2 linked regions of the Anolis sagrei genome follow. The protein of the gene in region 1 interacts with the protein of each later gene in a pairwise test. Links are inferred from orthologs where the notes say so. Each region holds a gene or a part of one and is shown on either strand. Other genes may lie near its edges. The genes, in order: RPS14 and KRR1.

Region 1 (8,606 bases):
GCAGGCAGCCTAAAATGTGAACTACTCACTTGCCAGACAGATCAGTTACGTGAACAAAAGTGTCATTGAAGGAAGCAAAGATGTGGCAGACTCCAAACACATTCTCTCCTTCAGCAACCTGGGGTCCCAAACTGATGACCTGCTCTTCCTTCTTTTCCTTGCCCTTACGAGGTGCCATTTCTGTGTAAGAAAGCAAGAAGATATGGAGGAGGCATAAGTCCAAGTACTTTTTCTTGGAGCAGTACTATTTATAATGCTGCATTAGATCAAGATGCAAGCTGACTAATACAGGTCCAATTCTTATAAGCAGGCCATATTAAAGAATGCCAACAGGGGAATCATGCTGAGAGACACTCCTTTTTACATGAATCAGTCCCAGCAATTCAGTCACCCCCCCCCCAGAAAAAAAACAAAAAAACAACCAGCTTTGCCTTCCAGAAGAGCAAAAGGAAATCACTGTATGATGTGGGAATTTAATATTCCAATATACAGTATGTTTTTCTATAATACAGACAAGAGAGAGAGCAAAAAACTCATCAGCTGAGAAAAAAAAAAGGTAACAGTCTCCACAGTGAGCATCTTGCTCTGCTGGCAAAAAACAAAGAGAGGCAAAACAGTGGGTCCAGTATCAAGAAGAATTATTATTCTTCTTATACATCCAAGAGGAAACATGCTGAATAGCATTTAATTACACCATGGTTTAGTAAGGTTGCAGACATGATTAAAACATACCCAGTGAATCTAAGAGTTTTAATGTCTTTTAAACCTGAAACAGTATGGACCTAAAGATAATAGTAATTTGCAGTAAACTTGCACCTAAATATTTTGAATGTCGGTTTCATTAAACATAGGATGCGAATTCCAATTAATATCATGGTCTTCATTAAAAAAATCTATTTTGGCAAAACTGTGTAATATCCAGCATCCTAGCTAGAGGTTTGAAGAATTCAGTATTATTTTATCTTGGAATGCTATTTACTTGCATGGCAAAGACAGCACAAATCAAATAGTGTTAGAAAATTCAGTACTCCCCACAGCACATTACATTTAAAATGAGGATGCACTGGAAGCATCGTATGTGTGTATATGCCTTCAAATCACCTGTTGGATTATGGCAAGCACAGGAATTTCATATGGCCTCCTTAGGCAAGGAATACTCAGAGATTTTGCCAATTCTTCCTTCTGAAATATATCCTACAGCACATGATATTCACTGCTGTCCACCCACCCAAGTTCCAACCTGGGATAGCACTGCTTAGCATCCAAGATCAGACAGGATCTGGTGCCTTTAAGATATTTAGGCAGGGAATCAGCACACCTGTGGTGAATTTCTTTCCTCTGGCCATAACACTTAGTGCCATAGAGACCACAAGGGCCATCAAGTCCACCTTTTGCCACGCTTATCATATGAGCCTGCTATGAAGTCTGTACACTTCAGTGTATCCCAGGCAAGTCATTATGAACAAAACACTGGCGAAGACTGCTAGAGGTTATTCCACCAACTTCATTTTCAATCCAACATTTTAAGAATAAGGAACACTACAGACAGGAAATATATCTGGCTGCCCATGGTTTGTGCAGTTTAACACCAACTTAATGGTCATGGCTCAATGGTATGGAATTTGTCATTTGGCTGGCAGCAGCTCTCTTTGGCAGAGAATACTGAAGACATTGCAAAAAGACAAGTCCCAGCATTCAGTCATGGTAGATAAGGTAATGCTGAACTGAATAAATCTACAGTGCAGATGCATCCTCAGAACAAGAAATAAGCATCTCATGTAGAACACAGAAACTTCAGTGTTGCCATATTTAAAATTTTAAACTAAGTTCCCAAACCATATGATATCAAATCAAAACCTTTACTATTTGTCACAAATATGGATATAAGTATACTCTGGTTTCTCTTTGGATCATATAATAAACCTTTCCCCTTTTACAAATATGGTTATGAATTCTAACAACCAAATAGCATCAGTTATGTCCAGTCTAATATTAGAGGCCTTTATCTGTCTTGAATTCTCCCTGTGACTATTATGTATTCTTTTCTAGATCGAAAACCAAAATATCCTTTCTACAATAAATAAAAACATTACTGTGATCATTTCTTTTTTAGTTCAATAAATGCTAAATAATTAGAAATGCAATCATTTGCCGATGTATAGGAAGTATTTGAAGTGGAAACAAAGCAATGCACAGACTGGTCTTTAGACTATCATAAATTTCCAACTCTGGAATAGGAAAAACTTTTAAATTGAGAATTGAGGACCACAATTCCTGCAATTACTTAAACCCCATGGCCTTGTATGGAAATGCAAGCCATCTACATGTGTTGGAATAGCGGCATTACAAATGTAGTAGACTTTAGGACTTATGGATAGTTTTCAAGTACAAGTATCGACTAAGTGCAGGGACCTAGTTTACTGTCTAATCAGAGCCAAAATAATATACGCTGAAAATAGGTTAAGCATCCTAAACTACTCTTAAAATTGTGCCTAGCGGTGGCTAAGAACAGTGACACTGTTTCTTTCTGGTGGTTCAACGTATGCACCACTGTTTCATGCACAAAATAATTGTTTTAAAATTATCTGTAAGGTGTAGATTAGGCGTGGGCAAACTTGGGGCTCCGGGTGTTTTGGACTTCAACTCCCACCATTCCTAACAGCCTTAGGCGGCTTAAGCAGCTAAATGGGGGAAGGAAAGGGCCTGAGGCTGTTAGGCATGGTGGGAGTTGAAGTCCAAAACACCTGGAGGGCCCAAGTTTGCCTAGGCCTGGTGTAGATGAAACATAAATGAATTCTGTGCTTGGGCCCCATCTCATAGAATCCTAGAGTTGGAAGAGACCTCATGGGCCATCCAGTCCAACCCCCTGCCAAGAAGCAGGAAAATTGCATTCAAAGCACCCCCGACAGATGGCCATCCAGCCTCCGTTTAAAAGCTTCCAAAGCTACCACACTCTGGGGCAGAGTTCCACTGCTGAATAGTTCTCATAAGCTATATTTTGATGTATGAATGGGAAAATACATGTGTTCCATCCAAGTCCTGACTCTTGCGGGTGGCCTGAGAAAAGCCTCAGGTCTCCATATTTATGTACTGCAAAGCCTTTCAATACAGGTAAGAGGCCCAAACCCCGGCTCGAAAGAAGGGGCGCCCACCTCGCAAGGCCTACACGGCTGCTTCGAGTGGAGGAGACTACTCAAAGGCAGGCCCGACAGGCAGAGAATGGCGGGGTCCTCTTTCTCCCCCCGATCCCCCATTAAGCGCCCGGCCATTGCGGCCCTCCCTTCTCTTAGAAGGGGTGCACCCCAAAAGCTCCAAAGAGGGGCCCTGGGAGCCCCGGCTGAGGAGGATGGCGGCGGATGGAAGGCGCCCCCCTTCTTTTCCCTTCCCTCAGCCACTTACTCGAGTGTCCTCGCAGGCGGCAACCAGCACCGGAAAGGAAGAGGCCAGCGTCACGGGAAGAGAGGTCGCCTCGTCTCACCCGGAAGCAATACTCTCCGTTGGGAGGGCGGGGAGAGAGGGCTACTTCCTCCAAAGAGCTGGCGTAGTGTCTTGGCTCGTATCGTTACTAAGAAGAGATGACACTGTGTCCGCCGCTCTAGGCGGAGGAAGAAAGGCCCAGCTGCACTGAAATGAGGTTCATAGAGCCTTGTAAAGTGGGGCGAGAGAGAAAGAGGTGAGGAGGCCCTCACTCAACATGGCGGCGGTCGCTTCACAGGGAGCGTTCCAGCAGTGCGCCTGACGCCATCGCGTCTACTCCCTCCAAAGGCCTTGTTCCGTTCTGCTTGAAGATGGCTGGTTCCACTTACAGCATAGCGAGAGGGGCTTGTATTATTGGTGCCTGCAGGAAAAGAGTTGGCTCCTCACTGAAGTCGATTTCAACAGTGAAGTTGTTAACAGGGACATCTTTCAAACCCAGGTTTAAGGCCTGCTGCCTGAAAACCTCCTTAGTGAGTTCATGTCTCCATCTCGAGGAGAAACCTGCCTCTGGTGGTGCGATAGGTTAAACTTGTGCCAGGAGGACTGATGATGGATGAAAATGGGCAATTGTAGGGCTGACACACAATCAGATGAGTTTTTAGTACCACATTGCCATCCCATTTGTAAGAATTCATGTCTGGTTCCAGCAAGAATCATATTGTCCATTAATAACAGTACAGATGAGTAGTTTACAAATGTATTGTCGAAGGCTTTCATGGCTGGAATCACTGGGTTGTTGTAGGGCTTTTCGGGCTATATAGCCATGTTCTAGAGGCATTCTCTCCTGACGTTTCGCCTGAACCCATGGCAAGCATCCTCAGAGGTTGTGAGATCTCAACCTCTGAGGATGCTTGCCATAGATGCATCCGCAGGCGATACGTCAGGAGAGAATGCCTCTAGAACAGTGGTTCTTAACCTGGGGTCCCCAGATGTTTTTGGCCTACAACTCCCAGAAATCCCAGCCAGTTTACCAGCTGTTAGGATTTCTGGGAGTTGAAGGACAAAAACATCTGGGGACCCCAGGTTGAGAACCACTGCTCTAGAACATGGCCATATAGCCCAAAAAAAAAACTACAACAAAACAGTTCTCAAAGGTCTTTAGGCTAAACACGCTCAAGCTATTAGTCCTAAAGCTAGAATTGTTATCAGCACAATTGTAAGGAGCCCCTGGTGGCACAATGGGTTAAACCCTTGTGCCAGCAGGACTCCTGACCAATAGGTTGTAGGTTCAAATTCGGGGAGTGGGATGACCTCCTGTCTGTCAGCACAAGCTTCTCATGCGGGGACATGAGAGAAACCTCCCAAAGGATGGTAAAACATCCGGGTGTCCCTTGAGCAACGTCTTTGCAGACTAATTCTCTCACACCAGGAATGACTTGAAGTCACTCCTGACAAAAAGAGAAAAGAAATATTGAGGAAGCCCTCTCGCTTATTTCCAAGGAAGCACATTCTAATTCAAGGATTCTATCAAGCCTATTTTCTGAGTCCTGAAAATCTATCAGTTAACTCAGTGGTTCCTAACCTGTGGTCTGTGGACCAACAGTGGTCCACAAGAATTAAAATATGGTCCATGGCCTCACTGTTACTACGCTGTTGCAACAAGAGCAACTGGTCTTGCAAAAACCTCTTATCGTGCTGAGGCTTATTAAATATGGTTTCCTGTGAGCAAGCAGATGGCGACTACTGGATGGCATATATTCTGTATCGGAAAATAGAGCTGATGTGGTCTATCCAATGCAATTTTCTGACTCAGCAGTCCAAATAACCAAACCGAATCTAAAGTTGACCAAAAACTGATTCGTAAGCCTTTCGGTACTAATGTTGGAAAGTGGTCCCTGGTCAAAACAAAGTTGGTATCCACAAATAAGCAAATGTTTCATTTGTCCATGATAAAAAGAAGTTCTGTCCTTTGTGTCAGCTGAAGGTAGTTTGTTTACTACGCCATCATATAACTAACAGACTTGATAAGCACGCTCAAATATGTAGCTGTCAAGATGAATCCTGGCTTCCACAAACGGCTTGATAGCTATTTTGCCGCTTTTCCAAAAGGAGGATGACAATAAACATGATTTTTAAAAAACAATATGGTGCAGGGAAATTGAAATAAAAGAATGCACAAAGAAGTATAGACTTCCTACGAAAGAGACAAAACTTCCAATTCCTGAGTATACTATATCAAATATTAAAAGAATTGGGGCGGGACTACTTAACCTCTTTAAGTAAATTCAGGTATGCGTGGCTAAATGAACTACCTGAGGGTAGTAAATGAATTTGCAATGTTAGCTTCAAAGCATTTATCTATAATACTTGAAAATTATTGAATAACAAATGGGGGCCTTGCAGACTGGAGGCGCTCATCTTCAAAAAGGATTATGGCAACCGCCAAAAAGTAAACGCCATCAATAAATAAAAAGTTTCAAACAGTCTGTGATTGCTAAAAGCCATTATGGATTTCTCAAAAACGACTCATGTCAGACTAATCGTACTTCTGACAGAGTTAGAAGCTTGTTAAATCAGGGACAGGTATATAGCACACCTTCATTTCAGTAAGGCTTTCAACAAGGTTATATCATTCCCCACAATAGCATTCCTTCTGATATTCCTGGGTGCTGTTGTGCTTAGATTTGTAGCTGATTGGCAAACCAAACCAGTAGTGCTTGCTAGTGGTGTCTTATCACCCCAGAGAGAAATGGGGCACTGCAGGTTTTGTTCAACATCTTTATAAAAGACTTGGGTGAAGGAACAGAGGCCACTCATCAAATTTGCAGATGACACTAAACTGAGCGGAGTCCTAATTAGGATTCAAGATGACCTTGAGAGTCTAGAGAATGGGACCAGGAAAGAAAATGAATTTCAACATAAGTTTGGAAATATTAGCTGCATAATATTAGGTGCATAAATTGAAAATTAATGACATCTGGCTTGACAACAGTACTGTATATGTGAAAAGAATCTAGGGGTCTTAGATCATAGATTAAACAGGAGTTAAGTGGACAGTGTGATGCAGTAGCAAAAACAGTGCTTTTATAGTCTGGATAAAGAACAGTATAGTGCCTGGTTCAAAGGCAGTAATATCACTGTATTTTGCTTTGGTTGGATTGGAAGTACTATGTCTAGTCCTGAACAATTTAAGGAGGATATTACCAAGCCAGAAGTCATCCAGAGGAGAGTGTCTAGGAGGGTAAAGAAACTGGAAGCAGCAATTCGAGGACTAATTGAGGAAGATGGGTTTGTAATTTGGAGGAGAAAATTGAGACATTACAAATCCACAAATATCTAAAGGTCAGGGAATATGGAATATGCTTGTGTTTTGCTGCTCTGAAAAGTAGAATCCAAACTAATAAATGTAAATTATAAGAAAGTGTAGAGTGTTGTTGTTCATTCGTTCAGTCGTCTCCGACTCTTCGTGACCTCATGGACCAGCCCACGCCAGAGCTCCCTGTCGGCCGTCACCACCCCCAGCTCCTTCAAGGTCAGTCCAGTCACTTCAAGGATGCCATCCATCCATCTTGCCCTTGGTCGGCCCCTCTTCCTTTTACCTTCCACTTTCCCCAGCATAATTGTCTTCTCTAAGCTTTGCTGTCTCCTCATGATGTGGCCAAAGTACTTCAACTTTGTCTCTAGTATCCATCTCTCCAATGAGCAGTCGGGCTTTATTTCCTGGAGGATGGACTGGTTGGATCTTCTCGCAGTCCAAGGCACTCTCAGAACTTTCCTCCAACACCACAGTTCAAAAGCATCTATCTTCCTTCGCTCAGCCTTCCCTAAGGTCCAGCTCTCACATCCGTAGGTTACTACAGGGAATACCATGGCTTTGACTATGCGGATCTTTGTTGCCAGTGTGATGTCTCTACTCTTTAAGTGTAGAGTAGACGATGCTAATAGCTTTCTAGTCCACCCTACCCCCCACCCCACCAGTGCAGGAAACCACAACTAAAGCATCTGTGACAACTGCCTGTCACCTCTGTTTTTAAAAGCCAATTTTAAAAAAATCCACATCCTTCCAAGGTAGTCATTTGGAAGTTCTTAGGGCTTTTTCCCTGGAACAGCAAAAAACAAGCTTACTCCATCTTCCACACTATTGCCCTTTAGATATTCAGAAATTTCTCATAGCCACCATCAATCTTATCTTAAGGAAAGCAAACCCAGATTCATCAACTGTTCTTCATTGAGCTTGGTTTCATCACCTATATTTTAGCAAGAACTGAACTGTAAAAAAAAATCTTCCTTTGTTGGAAGAATATTGAATAGGTTGGATGGTCATCTGTGAAATATGATTTAGCTGTGAAGTATGACTTAAGTCATGAAGTATGAAGTGTGACTTGGTAAAGGGTTAGGCTAAAAGTCATTTGGTATCATGTCCAATTCTACAATTTTATGTATTATTTTAAAGGATGTATCAATTACAGTAGAAATAGCAATGATAATGTGATCCTGGATAGATGCAAATTTCCAGGAAGATTTGAAACTCATCTGTGCTGTTGTCAGTCCTAATCCCATCTTTCCTTGTAATCATTATCATCACTGTCCTCATTATTTATTTGTAAGAGTACTAAAATGGTCTCGGCACTGGGCAGAAATACAATTACCTAGATAAGCTTGCAAGCTTACAGTTTAAATAATTAAGAAGAGAGAGAAGGGAAATTATACTTGTTTTGCAAGGCTAAAAGGAAACTAAAACCAGCTACATTAGAAATACAGCTCTCATTAGTCAGACAAATTGTAGCCTGTGTGCTGCATTTGGCATACAGGGCCATTTTTGTGGGACCCCAAATTTCTCCCCACCCACCCTCCAAATGCCCCCAAATACAATCTAGGGGTATAGAAAGCATTTGCACCACGTTTGGCTGGCCCCTGAGTTCCCCATGGGTTGAAAACAATTTTTGCAAAATTATTTCTGTCCCGAAGTTCTTTAAAGCGACCACTATGGGGCATGGGGTGTACTTCAGTCACATTTTTGGGGCAATTTAGGCACAGGATATATCTATATCTATATCTATATAGGGGGGAGAGAGAGAGAAACACCAAACATAATGAAAATGCTCCTATACTCCTAAAAGCATATGGGGCAAAATCATTTTTATATTTTATGTTTTTGTGGGAGGAAATGTAACTCTCCAAGGGCCTAA
Region 2 (8,233 bases), on another chromosome or scaffold:
CACTGCTCTCACAAACAGAGGTCTTAATAATCCACAAACCTCACCTACAAAAGAGTTATCTCACGAAATGTATTGAATAAACTTGTATATTATAGCACCTTGACCCACCTTGAGAGTAGATCCATTGGGCCCAATAAGCCTCTGTCGTCTTTTTATAAATCGTTCTCTGTTTCTCACCAGGGTCCCTATTTTAATGATGTCACAAGCTACATCATCTTCAAGGATGCGCACAGCCTAAACAGAAAATCAAACAGCATCTCAAGTTAAGCTAAATCCAAGTAAAGACAGGAACATTAATACAATAACCTGATTTGCTCTGATACATGCTTCTTAACCAAAGTTCTACATTTGGAGCTTAATGTTTAAGCTCAATAACATATTTAATAAAACCCTCTGAATTAGTCTTTCCAGATTTTAATGACACTAAACAGAAAACAACTTTCAAACAATTTAATAGAACTATAGGACAGAATCATAACTCTTAATCACTGAACAAACCTGTTCAAATGGAACACTTCTTGCTAAAAGCTTTATTAAGTCTCTGGCTCTGATGATTATATAGGGGTCAAAGGTCTTCTTTGTTGTGCTAACAGTCATGCTTCCTTCAATCAAATCTAAAGCCGCATTTATGTGCTGAAACACAAAAAAAGCAAGTAAGAGTTTTATATAGCAGCACAACTGGTTCTTAACACAATCATTAAAAGGGTTTACAGATTATATTGTGAATACCAACACAATAAAACACAAGATATTTTTTACATTTACAAATGCTCCAGGCCACTGAGATCCAGATCTGCCATTTCCAGCAACTGCAGGCAATCTTGTACCATATTAAACAGATGGTAGCAGAACAAATGTGGACATACTGAAGCATAATTGGTTAGCTGCCATTTAATATAGAATGTAATCATTCATGTCTGGTTTTTTTGTTTTGTTTTGTTTTTGGCATCCATGGCGGGTCCCAGAACCAACTCCAAGAAATTACAGGACTTTTCATTGATGTCCATTTATTGCAATTAAATTTAAATATAGAGGCAGCTTTAGAATTCCCCATTCAAAAGTATGCCAAATGGCCCTACTCATCCTCCTCTCTGACCCACCCCAATGCATCTAGGTTTGGGAAATAAAACGTAAACATAGGAAGCTTGAGGAAAGTATTAAAAACAGCCCTACATGTTCATTCAGTGCTTTTTGCACCAATGGCCAGCATTCTTTCAAGTATGCTTCTCTGTATTTTGGGAAGAGAGTGGCAAAGCTGCTTTCTTCCAGAAGTCCTTTAGGATTATCTTCTCGTTTAAAGGCTGGCTCTTTCCATCCATCAGGAACAGTAAGAAGTTCCGATTCATCTACTGTTAACAAAAATATATACATATATATTAGAATGGTTTTCTCTGATTAAGAAATGCAGGATCAGGGAACAGAGGCAGGAAAGACAGAAAGAGACCACAACAACTGTATGTTGAAGCTTGATGATGGGAAATTGCCACACTTCAAAAACGGTGCCAACTCTAATTAGTGCTTGGGTTCACCTTATTCCTCCCTTCTTATTTCTTTTGCATTTTTAGACTGTAAGCCCATAAGATCGATGTGTATTAGAGTTGTCATATTTCAGGGCCTGTCCCCCTTTTGTCATTCCTCAGGGATCAGCAGGCTGCTGCAGTGTGCTTTCTCGTGTGTTAAACTTAGATATGTTTTTGTTTTTTTTAAAAAAATGTGAACTGCATTATGTGTGAAACTGTATTTGATATGTGCTGTCTCATGTTTAATGTTCATCATGTTTAATGGCATTTTGTTATGTTTATCATGCTTAATGGCATCACTCCCATGGCATCCCAGGTCTTGGCTTTGGGCCCCTGAATAATTCTGACCTGGTAAAACTAATGTAATATATACTGTGGGAGACCTTTCAACCGAAGAGTGTAGTAAAAAATACTTTATACCAATAACAGTCAGTAAAAATAGAAGATCCCAGTTTGCAACTCTAACAGTCTTAAGCAGCAGGAGTTTTGAGAAATTATTTTCATTAGTAATAATCATCAGGATGCAACAGTGACCGCTCCAGACTCTTCCAATCATGTCTTGTTTTCCCCTCACTAATAATGATTTTAAAAGCATTATCTTCTTGAACAATTTACTCCATGCCAATCCAAGAGTTTTCAAATCAATTGTCTCCATGCTAAGTAGAGCAAGGAGAACAAAAAAGCTGTAAAGCAATAATCTATCATGAGAGGGCACATTTTTTTTGTCATGTCAGGAGCGACTTGAGAAACTGCAAGTTGCTTCTGGTGTGAGAGAATTGGCCGTCTGCAAGGACGTTGCCCAGGGGACGCCCGGATGTTTTGATGCTTTATCATCCTTATGGGAGGCTTCTCTCATGTCCCCGCATGAGGAGCTGGAGCTGATAGAGGGAGCTCATCCGCGCTCTCCCCGGATTCGAATCTGCGACCTGTAGGTCTTCAGTCCTACCAGCACAGTGGTTTAACCCACTGCGCCACCAGGGGCTCCTACATTTAGCAATAATTCAAGAATATGCACACCTCAGAAACATCAAAAATGCATGAGATTCAATACCAATCTGTTATTCAAACACAGCCAATATATATATTTTTTTGCTTAGAATCAAAAACCCAGGAGCAAGTTGGTGGCACATTTCTTGCCCAGGGTTTTAAAAGATGAAATGCTCCAAAATGGTCCACATGGGTGGCTAAGGCCCAATCTACACTACCATGTAATCCACTTTCTGAAGTCCCAATATGGCAGCGTCGATCCAGCCTGAGATAGTAGCACTTTTGTTTTTTTTAATGGTTCAACACTTTGTTTCGTGTACAAGATTATTAAAATATTGCATGAAATTACCTTCAAGGTGCAGATATGAAACATAGGTCCCTTCTACACTGCCATATAATCCAGATTTGCAAAGCAGATAATCCACATTATCTTCTTTGAACAGGGTTATGTGTCCACACTGCCATATAATCCACTCAAAGCAAATAATATCAATTTTATATGGCAGCGTTGAAGGAGCCTTAAATGATGCGCAATATGTATACATATGCAAATACAGGGATTAGAGAAAAATCCCAACACCTTCTGGCCCCAAGCATTTCGGAGTTAAGATCACAGATCTATATCCCAAAATATCAAGGCAAAAAATCCCACATTATCTGTGTGTGGACTCAGATTACCCAGCTCAAAGCAGATATTGTAGGATTTTCTGTCTTGATATTCTGGGATACAGGGCTGTATGGAAGGACCCATAATCATACCAATATCAAATTATTGCGCTGTGTTTCCACTTGATCCTGGCATGTGCCCTCTAGATGCGAATTATAAACACACACCCCCTTGAACTGCAAACCCCAAAATCCTACAAGGGCGGTGAAAATGGAACCATAACACTATAAATGTATGGTGTGGAAAGCTCCTGAGAAAGAAGGCTCTGCCTGAGGTCCCTTCCACTCAGCTGAATAAAATCCCACACTATCTGCTTTGAACTGGATTATATGGCAGTGTGAACTCAGATAATCCAGTTCAAAGCAGCTACTGTGGGGTTTTCTGCCTTGTTATTCTGGGTTATATGGCTGTGTGGAAGGCCCTGAGCCCTCTCTAGCCTGCCTGCTTTTGAGGGGACCCTTCCTGATCCAAACGAGCCTACACTCACCCTTGCTCGCCTTCTTGCCTTTGGGGCTCCTCGTTTCGGGCTCCCCCTTCCCTCGCTCACTCTCCCCGGGCGCAGCCATGCTGCTCCCACCTTCCTCCCCTTCACCCGGAAGTACAGCCGCTCTGTGAGCCGAAGAGCCCGGATGTTCTCATCCCACAATAAAGGCACACATAGAACTAGAAAAGTCAAGAGTGATACATCGTAGTAGAATGATGAAGCGATTGGAACCAATTTGGCCTTAGACTTCTTTGGGAAGGGGGACTTCAACTCCCAGAATTCCAGACCGTTGGCCAAGTCGACTTGGGCTTCTGGGAGTTGAAGTCCAAAATGCCCATACATTAAGAGAACCACAGTGTATGGCTCTTTCTGAGAGTATCTCTAGTAGGTTTGATGTAAACGACTGATTGCAAAGTATTCCACGTTTTAGTCTTGTTTTGCTGATACCAATGATGCATCTACGCTGTAAAATTAATGCAGTTTGATAGCACTTTAACTAGTATATGGAGTCATGGGAGTGTAGTTAGGTAAGGCACGGGCGCTCTATGGCAGGCAAAGCAAAGGCCTTGGAAAACTACTACTCCCACGATTCCATAGCATTGAGCCATGGGCAGTTAAAGTGGTATCAAACTGCATTAAGTCTACAGTGTAGATAAATCGACAGCAGGATGGCCCAATAATATCCACTACTGGAGTCAGATTCAATTGGCAGGTTTTTGTGTAGCAGGAGGGAGATGGGTTGTTGTAGGTTTTTCCGGGCTATATGGCCATGTTCTGGAGGCAAATTTTCTCCTGACGTTTCGCCTGCATCTATGGCAAGCATCCTCAGAGGTAATGAGGAGGGAGATGGTTTCTCAGGACCAGCTAGTTAGTAGCCAGCTGCATTAAATCACTACTGACCAAGGGCTCATGAGTTCGAAGCCAGCCGGGGTCGGAGGAAGCTCCCGACCATTAATAGTCTAGCTTGCTGTCGACCTATGCAGCCCGAAAGACAGTTGCATCTGTCAAGTAGGAAATTTAGGTACCGCTTTATGCGGGGAGGCTAATTTAACTAATTTACGATGCCATAAAAAACCCCCAACAGAGTGAAGAAGAATGAGGAAGTACTCTATCAAAGGACTCGGTATCACAAGTGGACAGTGAAGCGGCAGCTCCCCCTCTGGCCAGAATCAAGCATACCCCCATGAAGCTGGAATGTTAAATGCCTCTGTGTCTGTCTATATATGTTGTATGTTTAAATGTCATTGAATGTTTTCCATGTATATGTGCATTGTAATCCGCTCTGAGTCCTCTGTGGGGTGAGAAGGGCAGAATATAAATACTGTAAATAAATAAACCTCTTCTGCACTGCTATATAATCCAGACTATCAAAGCAGATAATGTGGATTTTCTGCTTTGATAATCTGGATTATATGGCAGTGTAGTTCGTTCCTTTTTTTTCTTGTCCTACTTATCTTGTCCTTTATCTTTACCTCTTCTAGGTTATTTATTTTGTGTGTATATATAACCAACTATCTGTGTACTGCTTCTGAGAAATTACTCACCTTTCACCGAATATGTGATTAACCAAATCTTGAAGGTCAGGTCTGCAAGAGGAAATGTTTTGTACCATGTGCTGTGTTTTTACTGTACCTATTAAAGTTTGAAGAGTTACTTTCAAATTATTTACAGCTGAGGTGTCAGACTGAAAGCTGGAGGGGACGTGTTGTAGCTTCAATGTTTGTGCAGAGCAGGGAATTTTAGCATGTATTCTTGCCGTGCAAGCAAAAGAGTATCTACACTGCATTTTGATACCACTTTAATTGCGATGGCTCCATAATCTGGGATCCTGGGAGTTGTAGTTTGGTAACGAACCTGCACTCTTGGGCAGCAAAGGTTAAAGACCTTATATAATCATTGAGCTGGAAGAGACATCGTAGGCCATCCAGTCCAACCCCTTGCCAAGAAGCAGGAAAAATGCATTCAAAGCACCCCCAACAGATGTCCATCCATTCTAAAACTACAACTCTCAGGATGTCATGGCTCAACTTATTAAAGCAGAGTCAAACTACATTAATGCTACAGTATAGTTACCCCTAGTAATAGTAACTGTGTTTTGCACAACAATTAATGGTCCAGTTTTCACTCTGGCATCTCTACAGGTATGGCAGAGAAAGCAAAAGATATTGTAAAACTACAATTTCCAGGATTCTAACATTGAACCATGGCATTTAAAATGGTGCCAGACTGCATTAATTCTACATTGTGGATGCAGTCTATGGGCCCTTTCACACAACCCTATATCCCAGAATATCAAGGCAGAAAATCCCACAATACCTGCTTTGAACTTGGTTATCTGAGTCCACACTCTGATAATGTGGTATTTTCTGCCTTGATATTCTGGGATATAGGGCTGTGTGGAAGGGCCCTATACCACAATTGCTCTCTTGCTGCAACTGTAACCTTAAAAGGTCTGCTGTTGTCTTCTCTGTTGGAGGAAAGATCCATAAGTTACAGAAGATCTATCCTATTTGTTTAAAATTCACTGCTACTTTCAGATTTTGGGGGAGCTATTCCATTGCCAGTATTCAACTGATGGTCTAAATCATTTCACAGAAAATCCTATATTGTGCTTGATTTTAGGCAGCAAATGCCAGCAAAAGCTCTGCGCAGGTATTCCACTTCTAGTCCAACACTCTAGTAACTATGGGTGCATCTACACTGTAGAAATAATGCAGTTTGACAGCATATATTTATAGTTTACTGCAGTGCCTGCACGCTGGCAGAGAAGACTATAGATATTCCATATATTGTCGATGGCTTTCATGGCCGGCTATAACAGAGCACTTGATAAACCAACCTGGACACAGAATATTATTTGAGAACACAGAAATTCTGGACCACTCTGACAACCATTAGGTCAGACTACACAGAGAAGCCACGGGTATATAAACACTCTACTTGCTTCACTGCTTCACTTCACTTGCTTCACTCCCAATAGAACCTCTGAAGATACCAGCCACAGATGCAGGTGAAACGTTAGGAGAGAATGCTGCTGGAACCTGGCCATGCAGCCTGAAAAACTCACAGCAACCCATTGTAAAACTCCAGCTCCCAAGGTTACATAGCATTGAGCTATGGCAGTTAAAGTGGTTCCAAATTGCATTCATCCTACAATGTGGATGCACTCTATACCACAATTGGCATCTTGCTGCCAATTGTGGTATAGGAAACACAAGGTTATTTGTGTTTCCTACTTTGTGTCATAAGACAGGACAGGAGTTTGATAAGCACATTTGTATTTGTGTTGCATGCAAACCGATCACTCAGCATATATTTATTCTCGAGTATTTTTTGACCTTCAGTTTCTTAGAAAAGGAAAAGATGCTTTAAAATACCCTTATCATATGTATACAAAACACAAAGTCACTTTCAAAGTGCATGTGTTCTCCTTATTCTTCCACAGTATGATGAAATTGTATGGACAAATCTCACTACACTGGAGTCTGTTTGGACAGCTTCAGGGAAGGCTGAAGTCAGTAGGCTAAATAATACACACTATGCTTTCATTATATGCCCCATCTAGGGCCCCATGTATACTGCCATATAAAATCTAGATTATCTACTTTGAACTGGATTATCTGGCAATGTAGAATCCATTCAAAGTAGAAAATGAGGATTTTAAATGACAGTGTAGAAGGGGCCTTAGAGAGAACATGTTTAATCAAACGACAAGTAAACCCAAATGAAGCTGGAGTAAACTGGGATTTCCCAGTTTACTCTGGATTAATTAGACACCTGGAAAGATCTGGACCTTAATGTAAGGTCAAGATCTTTCCAGGTGTGGGCCCTGTGGGGACTAACTACTGGGACTGCTTCCACAATTCATCGTGATGCTGGTTTTTCAGGCTCCTGAAGCCCCCTCCCCCTTCCCAGTCCCCCATTTGCCCCAAAATGTACCTGAGGGGCCTGCATGCAAAATGAAATGTCGGGAAGTTGGGGGAGGAAGGAGGAATTCTCTCCTTACCCCACCCCCCAACCTCTTGACGCATCATTTTGACACACCAAGAGCTTTCGACAAGGGCCTTCGCATGCTGCTAGGCTCCTTGGGTAAGTTTTGGGAATAAATTGGGGGGGGGGGGGGGGGCTAGTCCATGCTCTCCTGGATCAAACTCTGATATTTCTGGTTGACTTGGGAGGGCATATAGCCTGCTCCCAGGAAAACTCAGGGTTTGGGGTGGATGTGGGGACTAAATGCTGGGTGGAACTGGGATTAAATATTCCAGTTGCTCCTGGGATTTTCCCATGTTTGGTAGATCCTTCATAGAATCCAGTTCAAAGCAGATAATCTGGGATCAGATTCTTGGATAGAGGGTAGTGTAGGTCCAGCCTACGTTCGACTTTTTACTGTCAAGCTGGAAGATATAGGGATTCCAGACAGGCCCCAAATCTGTGCCATAGTGGGTTTTTTAAAAACCCGCTTTGGTGTGGATTTGAGTCCCCATGCCGGCCAAAAGCCCCGGGCTTTCTGGGGTGGGGATGCCTATATGCTATCCTGATTACAATCGGGATGAGATACAGCCATCCCAAAGCCTC

What was found.
Region 2: the proteins of RPS14 (region 1) and KRR1 interact in binary tests that used the Homo sapiens proteins (3 or more experiments, as listed by UniProt). The link is inferred for Anolis sagrei from reciprocal best matches to the Homo sapiens genes RPS14 and KRR1.

Annotation. Positions count from the first base shown.
Region 1 is NC_090022.1:85,397,968-85,406,573, reverse strand, and holds the start of RPS14 (small ribosomal subunit protein uS11), read right to left. Parts: upstream 3,509-8,606; 5' UTR 3,400-3,508; intron 181-3,399; 5' UTR 179-180; coding exon 30-178; intron 1-29.
Region 2 is NC_090025.1:146,260,549-146,268,781, forward strand, and holds the start of KRR1 (KRR1 small subunit processome component homolog), read right to left. Parts: upstream 3,794-8,233; 5' UTR 3,741-3,793; coding exon 3,662-3,740; intron 1,350-3,661; coding exon 1,174-1,349; intron 634-1,173; coding exon 499-633; intron 235-498; coding exon 109-234; intron 1-108. UniProt on the Homo sapiens protein: Part of the small subunit (SSU) processome, first precursor of the small eukaryotic ribosomal subunit.